Linked DNA regions of Bombyx mori. The protein of the gene in region 1 interacts with the protein of each later gene in a pairwise test. Links are inferred from orthologs where the notes say so. Each region holds a gene or a part of one and is shown in the gene's direction. Other genes may lie near its edges. The genes, in order: DNA replication complex GINS protein SLD5 and probable DNA replication complex GINS protein PSF2.

Evidence for each region.
Region 2: the proteins of DNA replication complex GINS protein SLD5 (region 1) and probable DNA replication complex GINS protein PSF2 interact in a two-hybrid assay, tested with the Drosophila melanogaster proteins (2 studies listed by BioGRID). The link is inferred for Bombyx mori from reciprocal best matches to the Drosophila melanogaster genes Sld5 and Psf2.

Annotation. Positions count from the first base shown.
Region 1 is NC_085121.1:9,243,704-9,253,273, forward strand, and holds DNA replication complex GINS protein SLD5, read left to right. Parts: upstream 1-3,108; 5' UTR 3,109-4,305; coding exon 4,306-4,882; intron 4,883-5,564; coding exon of another isoform or gene 5,565-5,587; exon of another isoform or gene 5,588-6,239; coding exon 6,240-6,313; 3' UTR 6,314-6,333; downstream 6,334-9,570. Other genes in the region: opsin-1, read right to left, coding at 43-208, 2,965-2,971; ATP-binding cassette sub-family C member 4, read right to left, coding at 7,712-7,903, 8,404-8,509, 9,182-9,342.
Region 2 is NC_085116.1:1,521,622-1,531,168, forward strand, and holds probable DNA replication complex GINS protein PSF2, read left to right. Parts: upstream 1-4,337; 5' UTR 4,338-4,870; coding exon 4,871-5,115; intron 5,116-5,556; coding exon 5,557-5,729; intron 5,730-6,002; coding exon 6,003-6,298; 3' UTR 6,299-6,762; coding exon of another isoform or gene 6,763-6,840; 3' UTR 6,841-6,961; downstream 6,962-9,547. UniProt on the Drosophila melanogaster protein: The GINS complex plays an essential role in the initiation of DNA replication.

The DNA of each region.
Region 1 (9,570 bases):
CATTGAATGATATTTAAAATAAAATATGAATTAACAACAAACCAATGAGGATCGACCATGTGTAGCATATCAGGTGGTACTTTATCGACAACGGTTTGGTTAGCGGCTCCGTAGGCAGCCACTTGACCACCCCACGCCTGGAGAGCTGCCATTCCTGGTCCAGGATCCAAGGAAATCATTTTCGCACTATTAAAGTTGACTACGTAACCTGAATGATTAAAGTGAAATTTTAGGAAATAGTAATCTAAATTCAATTACTTCCAATTCAATTAAAATAAAAATAACTTGTCATTTTTTGCTCACAAAGAAGGAATGTGAACTTTAATTATGTATTGAAATGGGTATAAAATACTGAAGGAAATCATTAAATGAACTTCAGATTAATTACAGTAAACCGATCTCGTGGTGCGAAGTGTGGCAGGATTGCCGAGGCCGTGGAGGCTACTCGTCTTTACTAGTACGGCTCTGTTTTATATACCTAACGAGGATTAATGTTGCGTTGCAGGAAAATCAATATTCATAATAAGATATACGATGTCTTAGAAGGTGAATATATTATTATCTTGAGGGTGAATTTTACAGGTTTGCATTTACAATTGAAAATGATAATAATAATGTATGATATAAGAAAGTTGTATTTTCGGTTTAACCGTTTAACATAATATGTTTAAATTAAATAATTAATATTTCATGCTAATGGAATAAAAAAAACGAAAGTAGATTTTATTATTCCAAATTGAAATAATTACTTTACCTACATTCTAATGTGGAAAATTATCCGTCTTAGACATAAAATATATGTTAATATAATAAAATATATGTTATATATTAAATTAAAAATTAAATACTAAATTAATAATATTAAAATAATATTATATAATAAAGAATAAAAATAATAATTTTATAACTAAAATATATTATTAAAAGGAGTCCCTTTAGGCAAGGTTCCGAAGATACTGACAGCGAATTAGTCTAGCTATTCCCCCTTTGAATAGCTAGACTAATTCTTTGTCCAAGGTAGCTGCCAGCTCTTCGGTCTCCTGTGGTGTCGACTAACCTTTTTGCTATTTCCTTAAAAAGCTTTATAGCGCTAGGATCCCACGGACCAAGGGTCTCGAGACCGAATGGAACAAAAACATATTCCGAGCCTAGACCCTGTATTTGCATGCTTTGGTTTTTTGAGCCGCTTCACAAGCCGCACCAGCTTTATTGTAGGTTCCATGTAGATGGGAAGGGGCCAGCGTGTCTGAACAGGTTGCATCCCATACCAACACCCGGCCCATCTTCCATGGAATCAAACTCATATCGTCCGGTCTCTTGCCGTCGTCTCTTGCAATACCAGTCGGCTCAAGTAGACTTGGCACGTTGGCAGTGGCAAGGGACCGGCGTATGATATAATTAAGTGCGGCATGTCGCGAGAAGCGGTCTGCACTTTTTTGGCAAGACAGTCCGTGATGTCCTAGCTTGTCGACATCACTGCCACAGGGACATTTATGAGGAACACAGACCGGAACCCCGAGCCGTACACAGGTTGCGATTCGGAGCGTGTCAGGCTCAAGAAATGTTCCTGTATTTGACGAAGGGTACGCGTGAATCCAGTAGCCGGCCTCGTGCGCACCCACAGCCAAAAGCCTAGCACGCGCCGAACCTGTACTACAGCTCAAAAGATTGTCATATGTCAATTTGCAGTTTATGTCGTCCCAGCTCTTCTGTGAATTTAGAGAAACTGGAAAATTTTGACGTGGGCATCCAATTAAGAAAGCGTTTCTAGCTTCTTCCAAGCCAGCAATCTCAAAGTTTTTTACTTATGAGATTTGCTGAACTATGGACAAAAGATAGGAAGGCTGGTAAAGCGACACGAGAAATTTTGCGAGTCCCTAAACCACCAAAACGGATGGGTAGGGATGCATGGGTCCAAGTTAGCTCGTTTAGCTGCATATTAAGAATCGATTCTAAGCCATTTTTGATTAAAGTCTACTTGTGTCAAAAGATCTGGGTGATTCCAAAAAGAGCAGCAATGGAGCACATACGTAAATTTTGGAACGAAAAAACTAAATTTTAAGATGCAAAGTGCTTAATGTGGACTAATTTCAAGGAAACGGTCAGCAGAATTTTGAAATTTAGTAATAAATTTAGTTATTTATAAAATAAACTATGTTTAAGTGCCGCCGTTATAGTACGGTTGATATTTGCAAAGTACAGCTATTTGTAAGTACAGATATTTGTAAGTACAGCTCTGTATTACTGAGGTAATGTAGTTATGCGACTTCAAAGAAGCAGGTTTATGTGGCTAACAAGATTAAATGTCTTCGCTAGTACGTACGTACATTATTCGATACAAAAACTGCAATTAATTGTTTAAAACAAACTAGGTGTGTCCCGCGGCCCACGGCTCTATTTTAAGTAAAATTTAGAATGAATAATGTAAATGTATTTACGGGATGGTCAGTGTGCTTGTACCAAGCACATGTACAACAACTTTCAGTAGTAATGTCCGAAGTAGAGTTCATTGTTCCATCCACAGCTCATTTCTAGAAATAATTCTAGGATGAACTCTATAGCAAAGTATTTCTGAAAGCTATATTCAGACGAGTTTTGAAAATAATATGTAGTTTTAAGTGGGAGGCGACGCACTCTTTCATAGTGTCAGCACTGGCTTTTCTCTTCTGAATATCGACTTTTTTCGTTTTCTTGCTCTTCATCCCTAATTTTACTAGTAAGATAAGGCTTGCTGTAAGCCTACTAGGATGGCTCGAGCACCCATTACTACTGAGACTTCCACAACATGAAGCAATAAAAAAATATTTAAAAATATTAACCATTCAACCCTTCAAACCAGGATGATGATTGGTTTGCACAAGAAATAAACAAGATGGTATGGCGGCTTATACTAATTTTATTACAGCGTTCGATGTTATTCCTTCACTACTAAACTTTGTTCAAGAACACAGTGGAGAAACATACTTAACATACAGGAACATTATCATTTGTAGAAATCGAACTTGATATTAAATATCATCGAGACTCATAGCTGCTCACTCACTCTTCGTAGTATTACTTATGATAGAAATAGATAAAACATTGGTTCAAACTAGAGGTGGCTAATATAACCAATAACCAATAAATTTACCGGTAAAAAAAATTAACACTTCTATTCGATAAATAAAATTACCCAAAACGGTTAAAAATACCGTTTACCAAACACACTGCGTGTAGTGGCATAGGCAATTATTGGAAATTATATTTATGCAAGTTTCAACTTTATTTCAACACGTAAGATTCATTTTCGCCTTGCAGATGTCTTCAACTTATCATGTAAAAAATATTGAATTTTATGATTTCATTGTATGCTCTATACCCCTCAAAATAAAGCACAATATTTAAGTTGGTGTATTTTACAGTTAATGATAATTTTTTTCGTTAAAAAATTGAAATGAAACGATATTTTTACCGAACGCGAAGATGACGTGATTGGTTGATTTTTTAAACGTAATATTTTGTTTGGTACTTGACATTTTGGTGGCTCAGTGCATCTTTTCTATTATTTTGGTAAAGTTGTGTTTTTGTATTTTAAGAGATTTGTACTTTGTGTTTGTGTGTTTTGACTTTGTTTTTGTGTGTTTGAGACTTTGCTTACTTTGTTGTTGTGGATTTTTAAATTGTATATCTAATTTAAAATGCCGAAACGCAATGCAGAAATATGGGATCATTTCGAAAAGTGCTAGTACCATTCAAGTTTAACATTAGCAAAATTAATTTTTCAACGAAAAGATTTACCGGTATTTTCAACCAATAAAAATATCGGTAATTTTTTTTATCAATTACCAGTTAACAGATAAATAAATTCAACCGTTAACGCCATCTCTAGTTCAAACCAACAAAGTTTTAAACAAATAGTAAGCAAAAAAATCTGTGAGAAAAAAAATTACATTATTTTACCATAAACTTATTATTTCAATAAAGGTAGTAGAAATAAAATCCCGTGCTATTCAGAAGAAAAAAAAAATTAATGACAATTGAGGTATGTCATAAAGTAACAATTTGTTTAGTACAGAAAGCAAGACAAAAATACAGAAAATTTTAATAAAAGAAAAAGATAAAAGAAAAAAAAACTATGATTGTAATGTAGTGAAACATGAATGCGATTATATACTCTTTAAATTTATAATGAATTGGTAAAAAAAGCTCTTTAGAACCTAAAAAACACCAGAACTCAAATTCGAGTCGTGAAAGCTAGAATAATATCATTCAGTGACAATCTAAAGTTGCACTAGAATTCTGTGGGTATATATAATTTAGAAGAATATGGAGTCAACCGAAGAGTTGCAGTTCAGTGATGATGAAGAAGAAGTAACAGCTGAGACTGTTTTAAAAACACTACAAAGTGCTTGGCAAAATGAAAGATTGTCCCCAGAAATACTCCCTCATCAAAATGACATGGTAGAATGTATGTTAGGTCAAATACAACACATGGAAAGAAACATAAATAAACTTTCAAAAACTGATTTGAGAACTTCTATACACAAAATGGAGATTAGCAGAATTAAATTTATTATTTGTAATTATCTTAAAACTAGACTGAATAAGATTGAAAAATATTGCATTCCAATACTAAACCAAGAAAGACAAAGAATAGAAACTGATACTAATTACCTAACACCATCAGAATATAAATATGCTCAAGAATATGTTTTGAACATGGAAAATCATATGAAAAATGTGGTATTAAATAAAATGCCTGGTAATATGCAAGTCTTTGAAATGAACAAAATGGCAGAACATCCTAATTTACAAACGCATGTATTCCTTAAAGCCAATGAAACCATTAATGGGGTTGTATTAGAAGACTTGACTGGTGAAGATGAAGAAATTGACTTAGAAGGTTTGTTATTGATTTTCTCACAACTGAAACACATTATAGGTTTTCTTTTGTTATACTTTGATAGATAGAGCAATACCCTTGTTGGTTTAATGACCTTGACTATTGTACCACAGGATATCACCTATATCATTGAAGTTATCATGACTTAAATAATAATATTATGGTATATTGAATGATTTGATTATATATGTCTTAAATTGAATCTAATTCTGTTTGATTAATCCACAAAAAAGAAATAACACTATGGAAACAATAAACTTGCCAAAATAAAAATAATATCCCATAATTATTGGTGGTAGGCCATATGGGAATGTGTCACCAATTAATTAGTCTCTGCCATAAAGCAGTCATGAAGTTTGAAGAATGGGGACAGTCCCCATACTAGACAATGGAGACTTAGACCTCATATCTCAGGAGGTATTCACTTTTTATAGTATTTATAGATTTTGGTGAACATTTAACATTGTGTATGTCTGACACATACAACACTTCTGAACATACATTATGTAGCAATCTCAGAAATAAAAAAAAATCAAACACAGTGAATGATATTTACCATAGGAGTTAAAATCTTATACTTTTAAACTAATCTAAAGTGCAAAGTTGTGCTATAATTAAAATTATTATTTTTTTTAATTAAAACCTTGAGGCAAGAGTTCTAAGTCTCCGTTTTATGACTCAGTTAATGGCTGCCCCAACTCTTAAACCAAAACGCATTACTGCTTCATGGCAGAAATAGGCAGGGTGGTGGTACACATCATGCAGGCTCACAAGACACCGTACCACTAGTGAAAGTGTAAGTAAGATGTTAAATGATAAAGCTGTAATGTAAAAATGCTTGTAATTACCTTAACATTTCAATTTAAAGTCTAAATTTTATTGTAGGTATGTAGCCCAACCATATACTTACACCAGTAAAGTCAAATTTATTAATTTCGTAGGTTTGTAATTGCAGTAATGCTATCTATATAAATACTAAGTTTATGCATTTCCTCAGAAAACTAGGGAATGTCATAGAATTTTAAATCTGAAATAGCAGTAGCTATCATAGGACAAAAATTGAGCAAAAACTGAAACCATGCAAAAAAAAATACAAGAAAAATCTAAGATATATAAAAGTTTCAAACAACATTTGGACTACTGGCTTCACAAGAAATAATTACTGCTCTGTGGAAGATTACCTGTTCATGATTTTCACTATACTAAATGTTAACTTGTTAATAACAGCCACAAGTTTTACTGTATTGTTTACAATTAAATTTTTTTATTTAAGTAAAAATCTTGCTAAAAGTGTGGGCTCAGACTAAGAATAAATAAAATGCAGTATAATGTCTTTAATACTACTTATTTCTTTCAGAGGGCTCGCAGCACATCTTGCAATACAAACCAATTGCAGATCTTTTAAAGAACGGGAAAGTCACATTGTTATGATAGTAAATTTTCTGTAAACACTTTGTATTTCATTTATTTTTAAAACATTTGTAGCTAGTTTAATAAATTAAACAAAATTAATTTTTACTTTCAGTTTATTGTAAATTAACATAATAAATATACAAGGTAAGTACACAATAAGTACTGAAGTATTATAATCTCACAAAATTTAAATATATTTCAAAGTTACAATTACTACTTATGTAAGAATAGACAGTTGAAACATTAAAAAACTACAATGTAAATTTATTTGTAATTATATCACAATATTTTTTCATAAAGCACTTATTTATATTTAAGTTAAATCTGACAGCTTACTATTTTTCCTTACAAAAATATATCTGGAATTTGGATACATTTTATTGGCTAGCTAGGCTAGGTTAGGTTATAATGAACAGCACCTTACTAGCAGATCTTAAAATTTAAACATTAATCTACATATATTCGATAAAAACCTTATTATAATCAACATATTGTGTAATAAGTTACTTTTTTGTATGTTGCCATAGTAAAATGTACATTGTACAAACATAAAGCAAAGATACAAATTTAAAAGATTGCTTATAAATAGAGTATTAAATATGGACTGTAAATAAAATAATTTAAATACATATATGTATAACTAAATAAGTACTATGATTATTATTGGTAACATTTAAAGCTTCCTCATTATTTAAAAGTAACAGAAATAAACTCTTTGTGAAAATAGGTATATGTAGATAAATAATTTAAACAAATAGTTCGTTATGACCCTGTAAATGTGAATTGGACTAAAGATATCCATGCACTATTAATTTAGAGACACGACGTGTACTTTGGTGACAACCGTTTAAAATAGTAATTTAACAGTTGTGGTGGATATAATTTCTTACTTATCTATGTTAGTGTTACCGGGACTTTATAATATTCTTAATTAGATATAAACATCGCCAATGCTATTATCAAGTAAATACGACATTAAAAAAACCTACAGCAAACAGTGGGAACCTGTGAATGTTGCCTCAATTAAAGCTTCGATCTGACGTTTTAAGGCGGGCGGTAGTTTCTCGTCGAGGGTATTCAACTGTGGAGTCTATGGATACTTGTAATCTTTTAAAACCAAGTGTATCTCGAACTTGGCTGCCCAGCTATGGCAATGTATTAATTTGAAAGTAATCTTGTACCAACGAATTAAGTACCATCAAAATTTAAGTAACACATTAAGTACATCGTACATAAAACCGGCTTTCGACTCGCCTGTTGTTAAGTAATTATTTGAGCTCATAGACACCACAACGGAATGCCGCCTGCCACTTTTTGGACTGAAGTACCTATCAATTTGTAATGACGATTATGACAAATAGGCGAGTACGTGTGTTACATAATATTAACGTTTCTGTTACGTAATAAAACGTTCAGTTATTTCGTTTTATCCTGGTCGTCCGCGTCGACGTATTGTATGTGTTGTGCGTGTGCGTCCCGCGCAAGTTCTCTAAGGCTCTGCTCTGAGGCGGGACCCAATTGTTTAACCATTTTCGAGAAATGCCCGTTATCGTTCTTAAGTAGCTCGTAAGGGTGGCCACATTCGACGATCTGGCCTGCTTCCATGACCTACAAGCAAATGTTGAGCACATTCATAAGACTGGCACAGCCATTAATAATTCGTTGTTTTTCAATTTGTGAATACGAGTAGACGAAGTCACGACAAGAAGGATATTAAACAATAAATCATAGCTCTTAAACTTCACTACGTGAATTCAGATAGAAATCGCCTTTGAGACACGAGGTCAAAATCTCACGTTGATTCTAAAAATTATATTCGGATAATATATATGTTGTTAATAGCTTATCTATTTTAAACATTAGTTAATCTAGCATATGGTTGGGATTGGAACAGACTCCGAGCTCGGCAGTTTGAAGTGTTGATTGGTCAATGCTTATAAAATGGACCGTCCATTTTTTTGTTGCAAATAAACCCTCTGGATACTGCACATATATATACAAAAGCCAAACCGGTCAAAGCGACGGGCTTACCAGTGAATATCACTACTTAAAATATATTACAAATTTATTATTAAAAAAAAAAGCCATAGTGAATACGATTGACTTACCACAACTCGATCAGAATCCGCAACGGTGTGTAGTCGATGGGCGACTGTGACAACGGTGCAGTCCGCAAAATGTTTGCGAATAGACTTCTGGATCAGTGCATCAGTACTGAGGACAAAATGTGCACGTGTTTTAGAACATTCAGAGGTGATCGATCGATTTCGTTACTTCAAATTATTTAGACAAACCATTTTAAATAAAAAAACTGTTTTCCTTCTTTTTATCTGTATTTTAAGTATTGTTCGTTCTATTGATTTCAAACTCCATTAGTTGTTTTAGTAGCTGATTATGTTTTGTACAAGGCCAACTTAAATGCCTCAAAAATTAAATAAACCACAGCAAAGTGTGACCGAATGAAACAAGAAAGCAGATAAAAAAAATAAAAAAAAGATGTGTGCTGTCGTGGGACACCGGATAGGAATGAAGTTCCTTATTATAAAAATATTAATTTTAAGTTCTATTCGAGGTATAAAGAAAATAAAACTGGAGGTTTCGCAACAACCCACGGTCATTCGGTAACGTGCCAACTTATTGTGGTACACTTCATTCACGGTTGTTTACATAAGAGTTAGTGTATTGCGCAAACGAACGCTCTAAGATCGTGGTCAATGAATGATAAAAAAATATGTTATTTTTTTACGTTATTACAAAGTTAAATCGTACACTGTGTGCATTACTAATAAAAATCTTACGTTACGGACGTTTTTTCCCAGTTAGGGTACCCCTCCGCATCGTCCCATAAGGAACTTCGTTCCAAAAATAACATTTTTATTGCCTTACTTCGGATCTACATTAGCGGTAGCTTCATCCAACACGAGTAGTCTATTTCTAGCAAGGGCCGCTCGGGCCAGGCACAGAAGCTGCCGTTGTCCAGCACTAAAATTGGATCCACCAGAAGCGACTGATGATGATAATGACGTCACAGTATTTTTGAGTTCAACCTAAAAACAATGTAAATGTTTAAATTCAATTCCTAATTCTTATTACCTATTGAGATCGTATGGCGCTTAAGTCCTGTGGTTAATAAGTACGGATCACCGTCTGGGTTATTTCTTACATCTTACTATTCTTACACCATGTTGATGATACATAAACTGGTGGTAGGACCTCTGGTGAGTCCGCACGGGTAGGTACCACCACCCCGCCTATTTCTACCGTGAAGCAGTAAT
Region 2 (9,547 bases), on another chromosome or scaffold:
CATTTACCTAAGATACATAACATCAATTATTTCGACAATGTTCCGACTGATATAATTAAACATTCAGAGTAAAGTTATATGTATTTACACGTACAAACTTGATATAAATGACCAGTGTTTCCAACGATCGAAATTCGACCATAATCACTGATACCAAATTAGGGGAAAGTGGGGGATATACGAACACCTAAGGGAAAACTTAAATAAAACATGGAATTTGATCACAGTTTTTTTTTTGTTTTTTTATTATAAAGTTTACTTATCTGTCTCACTTATTCACTAATGAACATTTATATTTTTTTAATAAATTACAACGATATGAAAGAAAAACAAAACCCTTAGTGTTCGACTTTGCCCGACATCAGTCGGGTAAATACGAATACCAAGGGAGGTGATTACGAACCAACATTATTAACAACATAGAACATTTAAAACACAACGATGTTGACTATCCATCACCGATACCAAATTACCTACATTCATTTTATTTATATGAAATCATATAGCTCTCTCTCTCTCATTTGCTCTTTTTGGTGTGCTAGAACCATAAACAAAAAATACTAATACAAAATCAATAAAACTAAAGCTCCTACAAGAAGAGAAAAACATTGACAAACAATTGAGAAAATATATTTTTTACATAACTCTTTGTCTTTCCATATATAAATAGATATTCATCATGAAAATAAGATCAAGCACAGATAGATAATGAATTAAAATAGAATTTAGAGTGATATGAGTGATGTGATACTAAAAATAAGTCTTTATCATAGTACCATAAATATGGCGCAGGTAGCGCGCAAGTCATTTGAACAAATCGCTGTCTTAAATAATATAGATAAATAGTAGTTTAAAAACTAAAAAAACATACTTCTATAGCAAATCGAACAATTAATTTCATCTTTTTTATCCTGTTAGTATTAGTCAGGATATTAGAGCGAACTTATTTAAGTAGTTTTGACATCGGAACTTGATGCGTTTGCTAATTATTAGGTTAGTCAGACGTGTTAACGTCGGCGAAATATCTCGTTACAAACTTCTAATAAGAACTTGTTAAAATTAGTATTTTCGTCAGTTATCACGAATTGTAAACGTAATTAAACATACTTTTTACGTTCACGTTGATCTCCCATTTATTTAAAATAAAGCAATTGCAATAAAGCAATTATATTAATACAATTCGAAATCTTTACAGTTTTCGTCGCCACGTACGAATAAGCAACCATAGCTTATTACATTTGAATTTTTGTAAGCAACCACAGAGATTAAGCCGTAAAAATAGTTAAAATTACGTCAACAAATAATGCTTACAGGAGTCAGTGAAAAACTATGAAATATATAAAATTGTATACTTATACAAAAGTTCGTAACAACAGTCATAAGATAGTATGAAAGTTCTGTGCAAGCGGCAGAGGCCAAGCGTAATTACAATAATTCACTTTACACTCCACAAGGGACGTAGATATATGAAAATGTTAGTTCATTGTTCTTACCGGAGTAATTAGCAGTTTAAAAAATATCTCCTCTTTGGAACAGCACTTCCGTTTCATTTTTATCTTTGTTTTGACTATACCCCCTTCATAAATCAATGATTTTCTATGAATCGACGCGTCTTTTATAAGTCGAGTCGAAATTTTGTGATATCATAGTTAATATACATAAATTAGTAAATATACCATAATATTAGAATTGAAAGTTCATCTTATAAGAAGGGATCTCTTCCAGACGATTGGATAATAAAGACAAAAAAAGAAGTGATGTATAAATTAATTGTTGTTTGCACTTGAATGAAATATTTCTACCATAGCACCGTCAACGTACCTCAAATGACTTTTGTGTATTTTGAACTAATAGGTGTATTTAATGAATTTATTCTGGACATGTTACAAACAAAAAACATTAGTTTCGTTTAATTAAGAACTTGGAAAATACTGTTAGTTGTGACTCTAACCGCCACCTTTTGTGGAAATTTGAAACTAGTAAACGTAATGGAAGTACATACGTATTGAAAATAGATGTCGCTAGATGCATCGAATGTCACATTTGACATATTTATGGCGCGAAAAAACGCCTTAAAACAGAATGGGTTTTAAATGACTAGCTGAATTTCCGGGCGCGATCTCACGAATTTGTATGCAGATTTAAGAAGAAAGATGTTGAATGTTGTTGCTCGGAGACAATGTGTTTTTCGCTCGTGCAGACACATCTGTTATTTATTTGTCGCATTCAAGACAGGTTACTTTTATAAATCTCCAAGATGTTTTTTATCTGTGACGTTTTTATGTTTCGTGAAATCGCTGAATGCTTTTTCTTCTTGTGATTATTTCACTGTAGTATGTTTACATATTTCAAAGGTTTACCAGAAAATAAATGAAATATTAGTATTTTCTATGATAAAAGATAGACTCTACAGATTAAATATGATTCGTTCAAAATAAAATTTATTGCCATTTTCATAGTGTCGAATAGGTGCGTTACTAAAAACTCCGACGAAATAGTAGACTTAGCACTGAAATTGGGCGAATGAAATACATAGTGATCAGTTTATAGACAGAGCAATGTATGTGTTTTTTCCAAACTAAGAGACGCATAAACTTACTGTTCTCTCTGACACAAGGGGGTGAGTCCCCACCAATAATATAGAGCCATAAATATCACCCGTCTGAGACATTGTCAACCGGCTACCCTAATTTACGAGGAGTAATTAGGAGTTTGCACTCTGCCAAAACGATTTGCATCGATCGCCACTCGTAAATGACGTCAATAATTTTAAATGGTAATTTCAATGTTTTACTTTTATGCAGAGAGATGAAGAGTGAGCGAGTTTCGCGTTTTATTTCAGGATTATGCTAACGACTAAATTACATGTAAGGCTAACTTATGCAATTTGAGTTTAAATTAAGCAATTCACAAAAATAATACCCACTTATTTAATGTTCTTTATTTACGATTCCACTTAAAATTGTTCTATAACTACGATTTTTTTTAAAGTAGATTTTTTTTATTTTAGTGCCACCTAGTTCAATCATCTGAACTACGCCAGCTTTAGTGAAAACAAACCATCTATGTCAGTTATTTAAATGTAGCATAGATGACGCTTAAATAAGCAAATTTAAAGAAAACATGTAAATTAAAACTTAATTACCTACTTCCAGTATCGCCATTCATACAGCTATTTAAAACACTGGATTTATGAAACTTATTTCATAAATTCGATCTACTAAGTCGTATTATTTAAACGTTATTCCCGCCAATTTTCCTTTTTTTTAAGGGATTTTATGAACTGGTAACTAAGACTTTTAGGTCATTTTTCGTATTTTCGTATTTTAATTTATATTCATAGTTTTATGAAAAATGATAATATGGAGTGAAATGAAATGAAAATAATTAATTTGAGACATTAATCAACTGGGATGAAATATAATCTCAGTAAAATGGTGGTCACTTACCGCCAAAAAATCTGCATCACTATGTCAGTATGTCAAAGCATAGAACACTTACTATTTGAGTTTCAAAGTCAAACAATTAAGCTCTATAAACAAGAGTAAATATCAGTGGTCTCGAACCTACCGATTTTTCGGTATATCTACCGATATGGGCACTGATCTATTGAAATACCGAAATAAAATGATTTTTCTACGATTTCAGAGTATACATGGAAATTCTCCCGATTTTTCTACCGATTTGACACTTTTAGACATTATTGATCCAAAACATGTTAAAATTGGCAAGACTACTTCGATACTACTTAAAAGTAGGCTCTTTCCCAATATTGTTCAGAGCAATGATTTCCAGGAAATTGATAGAGTAGCGCATTTTAAGAAATTGTGAATAAATCAAAACATTTCCTAATGATGTAGAACTATTTTGGGAAGAAGTAACTTTATTAAAACGTGGCGATGAAACTCAAATGTTTCCTTTGTTGTCTAATTTCATCCTTAATATTTTATCACTTTCCTATTCATCCGCTAACGTTGAACGCATATTTATTCTTTTGAAAACAAAACAGCGAAATAGGCTGTCTACTGAGTCAATCACTGGTCTATTACATGCAAAACGACTCTATAATACAGCTAATTGCTATGATTTTGAAATTAATTCAACGATGACTGCAGCTATGGCCAAACAATATTGGTATAAAAAATATTTATTCTTAAATATGATTGTTATAAATTAGTATGTAAGTTTTTTTTTCAATAAATAAACGCATTTGATTGAATATTGTATATTTTTTGACTAATACCGATTTTGGGTACAAAATAGTACAAATGTACCGATTTTAGCTGGCAAGTCTACTAATCTCGCTCTATGACGTTTGAGATCAGTGATAAAGATAAGGCGACTTTTTGGCGGGAACGCGAGGAGTGAAGTTGTGTGTTTTGTTTTATTTTGTCTATTTAGTGTTTCTTGGGTTTATATGTGTAATAATGGTGGTTTATTAACTGTTTAATATCTGTGAAAGTGCAAAAATGTGGGAAAATGAAACAAAGCCGCTGGACGTCACTTCTCGGGATCCTCCAAAAGTCCAACGAAAAAATCTCAGTAAATGACCACCATTTTACTGAGATTATAGTTCATCCCATATCATCTCATCTCATTTCATTTGATTTCATCCCAGTTAATTAATGTCTCAAATTAATTATCTTCATTTCATTTCATCATTTTTCATAAAAATAAGAGTATAAATTAAAATAAGACATGACTTAAAAGTCTTAGTTACCAGGTCATAATATAAAATACCTAAAAAAATATGATAAATAAAAACATGATAAAGGTAGGTAATATTCCTAAATTTTTAACCAAAATGAATTAAATTAAATATATGTATATTATTAAATGATTATAAATTATTAAAACCATAAAAATAATAATGGAACCTTATGAAATCGAGTTTATTGGTGAGAATCGGATAATCAGTATAACACCAAACTTTACCCATGATAAAATATACTTGATATGCGGTGAATTTGGTCCGTTTCGTGCTGGTTTACCTGTGAACGTACCACTCTGGCTGGCTATCATGCTAAAGCAGAAACAAAAGTGCCATGTTATCCCTCCTGACTGGATGGACGTGGAAGTTTTGGAGAATATTAAAGAAGAGGAAAAGCGTTCCAGGTTTGTCAATATATTTAATAAATTTGGTTTTTTACAAAACACACCAGTTTCAAAACTTTGATCTTTCTAGGTGGTCCAGTTTATTCCAGATACAATTTAATATTTTGTTTATACAACTTCCATGTCTTAATTTTAAATCAAAAAGTATATTTTATTATTATGGTTTATGTTATAAATACCTTCTAGAGCCATCCATTCTAACACTGATACTAAACAATAACTATTAGTGGTCTACCTGTTAATAAATCTCAAATTGTAACATGATTAAAAAACTTGAAGTTCATTGGTCAATAAATATATCTTTGCCAGTACTCATGAAAGGGTGTGTAAATATAAAATCTATCATTAAATGGCGTTTGAGAATTATCAGCAAGATAAAGCAAGTAGTTGTAGTAGTCAAAGTTTTCACATTAAATCTTCCTAAAATTATCAAACTACCAGATTCTTCACAAAGATGCCAAATGAACACTATATGGTGGAAGCCAAACTGATACTTGGTTCAGCTGCCGAAGATGTTCCCAATGCACCAGAAATAAAGACTATTATCAAAGACATCTGGGATATAAGAATGTCTAAGTTACGAACATCAATGGATGCATTGATGAAAACTGGAGGTTTGTAATGATTCCTTTAAAATACTTTACTTTTAAGTACTTTTAACTTACATTTTAAAGATTTTTGAATTGAGAGGATTTTATATTTTATTTTATTGTAACTGATGATATTGTAAACCTGCATGGATCAGAAAGCCTATAATGATGATATGTGGTCTTCGGTAACAACTTAACACCAGAATGGTATGCTTAAATTAAGATAAGAAAAAAATATAGAATGTGACTTACTCAGTCATAAGTTAAATTCAGGACATTTATAATTGACATTTTCAGGTGGCTATGGCAGATTAGATCATTTAACAATGATGGAAATAAACTCAGTGAAACCTCTTCTACCTGCTGCTATGGACAACCTCTTAAGGATGCAAATGGTAAGAACATGTGTGACAAATTGTAATATACTCTCCTTTAGACACATCCTTCTGTATTTTCATCTCCACTTTGTCCTTTTTACGAATATCTCTGAATGTATGTACCATCCTTCGGACCATCTTATACGTGACACATTTATGCATTCTACTCTGAAGGATCCTTGGATTTCTGTTCTAGACTTCACTCTCGTGTCCTAGTAGAAGGGCAAATCACATTGTTGTGATGATGATGTGTGTTACCAAAACTAAAACTGTGAGTGTGCAGTGAGTTCAGCTAACCTAAGGTTTAGTAACTACGGTAATTTGGAGTTTGTAAACCTGGTCTTATCAATATCATTGTTAAACTTAAATTCGGTATTGAAGATTTTTTTATTTGTTTTATAGAGTAAATTACAGTAAGCTGTCTTTAGACTTTCAACTGTAGTTTTGACAAAAATAATTTGATAGGCAGTACACGCACAATGTCCATATCAGTGAATCTACACTGGATCTAGTAGATCTGAAGACACTCTTCTTCAGTCTTCTTGTTGTCATTTGGTTGTCCGTTAGATGCTTAGCAAGGTTATTTGGGTGGGCTTTAAAATTGAAGATCTGAGTGCAATTATTCTTATATGTACTTGCAGTACAGTTTTGTAACAAATAATCAACTTTTTGTTTTACAGAAAACGAAAAAGACAGCACCATCGCTCAATTTAAATAGTTCAACCTTCAGTCAATCAGGGAGCTCTCAAAATACATAGTTTTAAGTGTAGTTAAGTGTAGTTTAAGTTTAGTAAGTTCTTAATACTTTTTAATGATTTTGTAACAAAGTGGTTGGTAACAATCAAAAAGTGGTAATAACATTAAAAACACTTATTGTAACCTTGTTTTTATTCTTTTTAGATATTTAAAATTGCATGCATTTAGAGTTGATCTTATTATATTAAACATTTGATAACCTGTTGTTTTAGACCGAAACCTCAAATCTCAACAGTTTTTATTTTTCACTGCCTAATCTTCGGTAGCCTACGGGGCTGTTCAACTACGCGCGGACCATTAGGTGGGCTCATGGGCACAACCTGGAAAAATATGCTAACACCAGCCCTAACAAAAGCAGTGCTTCGCAGAATCTACCACCGGATCGGAACCGCGACCCACTTAGAAGATCCGGCGGGAAATTAAGTGGGCTGTGTCTATGGACTAGCTCGCACGTCGAACTCTTCAGTTCAGTTCGTCAACGCGTCAGTAATCGATGAATTCGACGAAGACAATGACCACTGCTTAAAGACCTAAAAGCACCGAGAGCGGATGTTGAGGACCCGACAAGATAAATTTTGGGCGACGGCGGCTGCCTTGTCCCGTCGCCTGGGTGCGATATGTAACAGGTCTACAAAAAAAATTATTTTTTTCTACTTTTTTTTCATAGATGAATTCATTATATTTTGTGCTCCAAACACGGAATCTGACATACAATTAGTTACCACACGTAGATTCCCATATAATATTTATTTAATTAACAAACAATATTATTAAAATATCAATTATCATAACGAAATGAAAACATATTTCGGTCTAAGTTTTACAGTGAAAAATCTGAAATTATAGTCACAAAATGAATATATATCGGTCAGTTATCTCATTATATGGTGAGAAGATTTATTTTGTGGTTTTTTTATTTGTCATCGTTTCTATTGGAGTTTCTCAGCGAATTGACCAACAGAAATCAGCAAGCACTGCTGCTGACCATTTCCCACTGTAGCGTTTTTCAATGTGCATTATATCCTGATGAAACCTTTCACCATATTCATCTGATACGGCTCCAAGATTTTCAGGAAAGAGATCTAAAAGAGAGTCGGAAAAATAAATCTTGAGTGACATATTGCATCCTAAAGCTTTATAAGCAAAAAGAAGCTCCCGAATGATTTGTCAGTAGTTCTCACTTTTTCTGTTCCCAAGAAAATTATGACAAACTTTCACAAAAGCCGCCCAAGCTCTTTTTTCTGCTTCGTTCAACTTCGAATTAAAATTTTCATCTTTCATTAGCTCACGTAAGTATCTGTTGATCTACAAAAATTTCTTCCTTCAATTTTGCGTCACTGATTCGAGGAATTTTGGTTTTTAGATATTGAAATTATTCATTGATATTAATTTTAGATATAGTTTTTCTTGAGTCCCAACCTTATGTGAGTGGTGGCAGAAATTTTTTCTCACTTGGCACCAAAGGTTTCTGAGACACATTTTTAAGCCCAGGATTTAAAGTTTTTATCTTGCGTGACTGTCCCACTCACAAAGAAAACGGCAAAACTTTGTGTACCCTCATTGTAATCCGGTGAGTATAGCGACGACTTTTAAATCAGCACAAATATTCCATAAGTAGTTTGAGTTCCATAAAGGTTTGAAAAAAAAAACATATCAAAAAATCTAGACGTGATGGAAAAAATCGGCCAAGGGGTATAGATTCAGAACATTTAAATCGTCATATTTATGACAAAAAATTTTAAAGGAGGATTTCATTGCATACCTGTGTAATTAGCGGTGGCCATTAAAAGAGATTTATAGTGTGGTGCCACTTTATAAAAGTTGTGTTCTGACGCTTCCAGATCGGTTTCGCTTAAAAATCCGAGGTATTGCTTACCCCTGCTATTACCTGTCCCTTTATTATTATTTTTTCGGGCCGGAGGCCGAACCTCCTACGAGATCCCCGGCGGGGTATGTGGGGCTGGTCCGCGAATGCGAGACCGCGGGCCCAAGGAATTTTAGGACCGTACCGCACTAAATGACCCCTGCGTTCTTACACCCGACGTCCGATCTCCGTCTGGGGTCAGAACCCGGTCAGAGTAGGGAGGTTCCCGCGGTCAACGCTACAACCAGACACGCGGCGCCACCCCGAGGACGCCCGACCGACGAGTCGTCGAGGCGATAGTCAACGACCAACGACGTCGGTCTCCGCGGTACGGCGGCCCTACCAGGCCGCCTCGCGCTGGTGTTCCGGGATACCCCGCTGGGCCAGAACCAGCCTGTCGGAAGGCGATACACCGCCGAGCGGGTTGCTACTACTACCTGATCCCTACATTAACAGTTCCATATTGGTGTTATTTTCTGTCAATATAGTTTCGTTTTAACAATCCCTTACAATTGCTTTGTATAGAAATAAAATAAAAAATTCATAAGAAAAAAATATATTTCTTCTGAAAACCAAGATTTACAATTCTTCACTTAAATGTAAAAAAGTAGAAGACGCAAACTACGAACCTAATTAATTGCTCTGTTAGTCTTATTTATGTCACTATAAGGTACTTATTAAATTTAAATGCACTTAGCCTAGATTATAATCTAGATAGGCAGCTTCAATTAATAAACTATAAAATATTAATTTATATTTTTATCTATCAAAGAAATATTGAAATTTAATATAATTATGTACCTACATAAATTAAGGATTATTTAATCAAAGATACAAACAAACGG